Neurospora crassa OR74A: one gene and its partner. The protein of the gene in region 1 binds, or shares a complex with, the protein of each later gene. Links are inferred from orthologs where the notes say so. Each region holds a gene or a part of one and is shown on either strand. Other genes may lie near its edges.

Region 1 (2,422 bases):
TGAGCAGCTACAGACCGAGGAAGGGTGGGAGCTTGTCCCGCTCCGTGGCAAGACTATTGGTATCCGTACCAGCACCATGGACGATAAGAACATGGCCATCGAGCTGCTCGTGGTGTACGCTCAGGTCCTTGAGGGTGACTTTGCGCCTTATGTCGCAGACATCATGGAGAAGATTGCTCTTCCTGGTCTGGCCTTCTTCTTCCACGATCCTGTCAGGTACATGTCTGCGAAGCTAGTTCCGCAATTGCTCATTTCATACAAGAAGCAGTACGGTCCCGGCTCCAACGAGCTCAAGGGCTTGTGGACCAGCACCGTCGTTCAGCTCCTCGACGTTCTTAGCGCCGAGCCTGCCATTGATACGCTCGCGGAGATGTATCAATGCTTCTATGAGTCCATCGAGGTCATCGGCACTGCCTGCCTCGATGAGACGCACATGGGCCGCTTCATCGACGGTGTCCACTCCACTCTTGAGGATTACAAGGATCGGGCAGCCGCTCGTGAGGAGGAGCAAGGAGGTGAAGATGGCGAGGACGAGTCGGAAGAGATGCAGATGGCCATTGAGGATGACCAGACTCTCCTTTCGGACATGAACAAGGCGTTCCATGCTGTTTTCAAGTACCACGGCGCAAGCTTCTTGAGCGCTTGGAGCCGCCTGCTTCCCACCTACAGCAGCTTCTTGAGCTCGAATGATACCACCCAGCGACAGTGGGGACTGTGCATTATGGATGATGTTCTAGAATACTGTGGTGCTGAGAGCATTCACTACGCCCAGTATATCTCGGAGCCTCTGCTCCTCGGCTGCCAGGATGCCTCTCCCGCTATTCGTCAAGCGGCTGCGTATGGCATCGGTGTGGCTGCCCACCATGGCGGCCAGGCTTGGGCGCCGTTGGTGGGCCAAGCCGTCGAAGTTCTCTTCAAGGCTACGCAGATCCCAGATGCGCGCAACGAGGACAATGTGTACGCTACGGAGAATGCCTGCGCTGCCATCGCCAAGATTCTGCATTTCAACTCTTCTCAAGTCGCCAACCCCGACCAGGTTGCGACACAGTGGTTTGAGACTCTGCCGGTCTTGAACGACGAGGAAGCGGCGCCCTATGCGTATGCTTTCATGACCCAGCTGATTGAAAAGTAAGTCTCTTGTCCTGACATGGCGAACTGGAAACGACTGACCCGCAAATAGGCAACATCCTGTCGTTATTTCGCAACCCGCTAAAGCTTTCTACTACGTCGCACAGGCGCTTGAGGTGGACGTTTTGAGCGGACAGACCCTCGCGCGCGTGATTGCCGCTGTCAAGAGCCTGTTGCAAGCAACCGGTACTTCGCCCGACCCCGTACTGCAGCAATTTGGCCCCGAATCTCAGCAGTTGATTCGGGAGCGGTTTAGCAGTTAAGAAGTGTCGGAGGTAGTGGCTGTGGAAGAGAGATGACATCGCTGATGGACGTAGGAGAAGGAAAAGCAAAACGTCGACTTAGGAAGATGGTGATCTACTTGGAAATCAGGATATAGATGGCATGGAACCAGAAGGGATCGACAGGAACTGGTAGGGAAATCATGGTAAGAGCGTGGAGAAATACTTGAGCACGCAATCAGGCTGTTGATGGCCTTGGTCATGTAGGGAAGAAGGCGAGAGGAGTCGAAGCGGAAATGTGAATTTGATGGAGATACCATGCACACCATAACGTTCCTTCGGCGCACGTAACCATTTATCACACACGTATAAAATCACATAAACACTTGTAAATGACTAGGATACCTAAGTAACATGGATCGTTCCAATCTTGCCTTTTACCAGTAGTTTGGGTGGGATACAGGAGAGATCGGAGGGTTGGATCTCTGCTACTGCTACATGAGCACATGTGTTGCGTCTTTGGTTGGAAAAGCTCACAGGTACTCGAGGGTCCTTGAATAGGTAGAATACAATGGAGTTGATGGACCACCAGCATCTGATAGCGGCGGGTATCTGCAGTATGGCATTGTAGTCTACATGGTACCCTCGATACATACCCAGATGGAGGCTGATCAGGGGTCTTTTCTTTGGGGTCCAACTAAAGCAGCCACACCAATTTTACAAACCTTGGGTCCGGGTCCCCCGTTCTGAACGGGAATGGGTGCATAGGACACTACAACTTTCAATTGTGTGCCATGGTCATATCATCATCCCTCTGACACTATCTGTACCTTGGCTGTTTTCTACGTTTGTGTGTGTACACTACATATGTCTGTATTACGCTACCGGCAAGGTTATGTACTCGAGGTCTATTGCCATCCGATAGGTGTACTCCAAAAACATCATCTTGCCCTAGTACTGTACACTATAATACGCAAGTGTCCATCCAGGGGGGTGTGAGGCTATTATACCTTTCTCTACCTAGTCTATTTGAGAAATAATCAAAAAGTGCGACAATCGACGTCATTTGGTGG
Region 2 (3,913 bases), on another chromosome or scaffold:
TTATCTTGAAAGGTATGCAGAGTTTGAGTGAAGCAAGGATGTGACGATGATCTCATGAGACGAATGGTACAAGATGAAAAATTGAAAAAAAAATCAAAAAAAAAAATTTCAAAAATTGGAAAATAAACAGAGGATCAAAACATATCAGAACAAGGAATGAAGTAACAATCAAAAACAAATGACCTACAGCGAGCAGGGGAAGTTATCGTCGGTTGCCATGGTTGCGGTCTTTAATAACCCCGAAGTAAACACTTGCAAGAAATATGTTGTCGTGAACCAAAGGGTTTCAGACTGGCACTCGCCTAACGGTTGTCAGGGGAGTTTGTGTGGTAAGCGCTACCCGATGACGAATGTCAAATTCCAACCGCCGCGAGTGTGCCTGGGCTGTGATGACCGATAACAGGCCCTTGTGGGAAACTCTGTAGGAACCTCAAACTGTATCTCACACTGGCAATTCCGCAGTGATGTTACTATCGTCTACAGTTATCGCAAGGTCGTAGGCGGCAGGCTGGCTGAACAGGGAACGAGTTTCGATATTCGGTTGTTGCCGTGTGCTGGGCGCAAAGGCATCATGGCGGCTTTACAGAAAAAGGACAAGCTCCGGCAACACCTCCCTCTCTACCTCAGCTGGAAAGTGGAGCTCTGGGGGGGGATCTCCCGTCAGAGCGAAGCGATTGGATGTTACTGGTCCAGGCGCGACTGCGGATGCCAAGAGAGAAGGTTGTCAGGACAACGGCGGGTGAGATGGAGCTTTGAACGCGCTTATTGGGCGGTGAATTGTTTTGGAAGATACCAAGCCCCCCGAATTCTTCGCTGGCCCACGCTAAACCCCGGGCGCAGGCAGAGCGGTCGGGCAAGATCAGTTGCGACTTGGAGGCGGTCTCTGCATGGAAGGTGAGGTGAAGGTCTCGCTCGTTCTCCGGTTCGCCAGGGTCCCTGCCAATGACAATACACACACGACATACAACCTTGCCAGCAAAAACACCGCTCTTGGTAAGTACCGGTAAAGGCCGTACCTGCTACAAAACCTGTTCTCCGCAACCAGCTCATACCCACCGGTCTTTTCTGACCTCCTCCTCTCGCACATCATCATCGAGTTGCCCACTCCTTTGTTTCTTCAATTCTCCTGCCTCCGGTGCCTTCGTTCTTTACAAGAATTGCATTCTCGCAGCCGGTGTCCTCTCGTCCTTCTTTGGAGGCTTTGGCCCTTGTTTTTGGCCCTTTCATCCCACCCCGCACCTGCAGTGCAGTACACAGTCCCTTGCCTCGCGGTATAGCTACCTAGCCCAGCTTGGCTGCTTGGTTTTCCCTTGTTGGCACACAATCGCTCGCGCAAACGATCTGCGATCTCGACCTCACCTTCTTCCCGTCAATCAATCCGACCATAATTTTGGCCGACCTCAAGTACAGCCCTCAAACGACAAAAGATCGAATTGGACTTTAACATCCTTCGCTCCCGCCTCCCTATACGTAGCTCATTGCATTGCACAGCATCACTATTCCCGTACGTGCGCCTGCGCATTGTCGCAACGCCAATCGCTCTCTCGACATAAACAGTCGACTTTGAGCCTCCCAGGCCACGACGCCATGGCTCCTTCCTCCAGACACTCCAGCAATCTGGGGCAAATCATCGAGTACATTCCCGGTACGTGTAGATTATTTGTGCGCCGCTCCGGTCCTCTTAATTGAAGCTACAATTTTTTTTTTGTTTTGCTTCTGGCTCCGTTGTCCGAAAACTCCATGTTTATGATCCACCCGCATCCCATGTTCACCGCTCCGCAACGGAGCTGCTCGTCCCAATATGAGCACCTTTGAATATCCTCTACAATATCAGCAATTGCCTTACAGTATACTAACCTTTACAGACCGATTGTACCTTGCATCTTACTCTGAACCTCCTACCGAGCATACCTTGTTTCCCTACCCGGATCCTGAACCACGGTCCCCGCGCAAGCGCTCTCAACGAACAATCGACCAGGTCACGGAGCGTAAGAAGCCATACTACTTCACTGTCGACGATACTCTTCTATACAATGCCTTCCACCACGATTTTGGCCCGTTCCACATCGGCCACCTTTACCGCTTCGCCCTGCAGTTCCACGAAATTCTTGGGGCCAAGGAGAACAAAGACAGGCCGGTAGTGTTCTGGAGCAGGGCCGATCCACGCAGTAGGTCATCTAAGTCCGCCTCCTCGAGAACAGCAAAGATTGCTGACCAATGTTACCTTAGGTCGTGCCAATGCCTCTTGTCTACTAGCTTGCTACATGGTTTTGATCCAATCGTGGCCTCCGCATCTAGCTCTTGCGCCGGTCGCCCAGGTTGACCCCCCTCTAATGCCGTTCAGAGACGCCGGCTACAGCCAGGCCGACTACGGCATCACGGTTCAGGACGTTGTGTACGGCGTTTGGAAGGCCAAGGAGGAAGGCTGCTGCGTGTTGGAGACATTCGACCTTGACGAGTACGAAAAGTTTGAGAGAGTTGAGCACGGCGACTTCAACTGGATTACACCCAACTTCCTGGCATTTGCCTCTCCTCAGCATACCCCGGTTGCTCCCACCCCCGAGGGGACCGAGCAGTGGTCACTTCTGCCAAAGACCCTAGCCGCCGTCGACGCACATCCTACGCTGCCGCAGCCCTTCAAAAATGTTCTCAGGCATTTCTCGGAGCGAGACATCGGCCTTGTCGTCAGGCTGAACTCGCAGCTCTACAATCCCTCATACTTTGAAGCCCTAGGAATCAACCACATCGACATGATCTTTGAGGACGGAACATGTCCTACCCTTTCGACCGTACGGAAATTCATCCGCATGGCCCATGAAACCATCTCTAGGAAGAAGGGCATTGCTGTTCATTGCAAAGCTGGCCTCGGCCGAACAGGCTGCCTCATCGGTGCCTACCTGATCTACCGACATGGATTTACAGCAAACGAGGTCATTGCCTACATGCGCTTCATGCGCCCAGGCATGGTCGTAGGGCCTCAGCAGCACTGGTTACATCTGAACCAGGGCATCTTCCGGGAGTGGTGGATTGAGGAGCGGGTTGAGCGGAGGCTGCGCAAAGAAATGGCAGCCGCTGCCGCCGCCGCCGCTCAGGCTAACGGGACAGCGCATCCCAGCACCCCTGTCCGTGCCGTGTCGAAGACGAGTCTTGGTCGTAGCTCTAGCAAAAATGGCGTGTCCACACCCTCTAACAGAGGATCAGTTCGGACACCGCTAGGCGAGATCGATCGGGAGTCGGCGCGTGACAATCATATCGGCGTACAAGAGGATTACCTCCCCGCACCTACGCCAGGACAGCCAAGGAAGACGCAGCGGGGCGCAGTAGATCGCCAGAAAGGATATGGCCGGGGACCTATTCAGACCACTGTGGAGGAAGAACCCGTTCCCATGACAGAAGTGACAACCGAGGTGATCACAGTTCACAAGAGCTCAAGAGGGCCGAGTTCAGAGGAGGAATGGAATCTTCGAAGATCTCGGCGAAGACAGTCTGCTGCTCCAACTTCACCAGGACAACCCCCCGAACGGTCTGTCACCCACCAAACCGCTACCACGAAAACGACTGTTTATCAAGTCATGGATAATGATGCATCGAACGATATCGAGAACATTGGTACTGCCGCAGCACGAATCAAGGCCCATGACCACGCTCCACGCACTAGTTCCGCGTCTGGAGTTTTGACCAAGATACGAGGCAACACTAGTGCGAAACGCCATCCACCTGGGAGCGTCAGAGAAGCTGGTGTTCGAAAGACGAGTGGACGAGTTGGGAGTATAGGGAACTCGACAACCAGTCCGGCCGCTGTATCGGCAATGCGTAAAATAAGTGGGATGTGACCCTATTCTCATGAGTCAAAAGATTATACTTGACTTGATGTGTTACAAACGAAAGCTCGGATTCATTGGCTTCATAATTC

What was found.
Region 2: the proteins of NCU02357 (region 1) and NCU03246 are in contact, whole or in part, in a crystal structure (PDB 4ZJ7), measured with the Saccharomyces cerevisiae proteins. The link is inferred for Neurospora crassa OR74A from reciprocal best matches to the Saccharomyces cerevisiae genes PSE1 and CDC14. Residues at the interface, in NP_014039.1 of Saccharomyces cerevisiae: Arg349, Asp353, Ser392, Ser393, Glu396, Cys429, Asn430, Gly433, Gln434, His470, Ala473, Ala474, Val476, Asn477, Gln512, Thr515; in NP_116684.3 of Saccharomyces cerevisiae: Gly547, Ser548, Ile549, Lys550, Lys551.

What each region holds. Positions count from the first base shown.
Region 1 is NC_026507.1:2,761,883-2,764,304, forward strand, and holds the end of NCU02357 (importin subunit beta-3), read left to right. Parts: coding exon 1-1,128; intron 1,129-1,180; coding exon 1,181-1,391; 3' UTR 1,392-1,782; downstream 1,783-2,422. UniProt on the Saccharomyces cerevisiae protein: Functions in nuclear protein import as nuclear transport receptor. Serves as receptor for classical and arginine/glycine-rich nuclear localization signals (cNLS and rg-NLS) in cargo substrates.
Region 2 is NC_026501.1:5,042,088-5,046,000, forward strand, and holds the start of NCU03246 (tyrosine-protein phosphatase CDC14), read left to right. Parts: upstream 1-1,041; 5' UTR 1,042-1,587; coding exon 1,588-1,645; intron 1,646-1,865; coding exon 1,866-2,168; intron 2,169-2,229; coding exon 2,230-3,833; 3' UTR 3,834-3,913. Other genes in the region: NCU03245 (hypothetical protein), read right to left, coding at 188-219. UniProt on the Saccharomyces cerevisiae protein: Protein phosphatase which antagonizes mitotic cyclin-dependent kinase CDC28, the inactivation of which is essential for exit from mitosis. To access its substrates, is released from nucleolar sequestration during mitosis.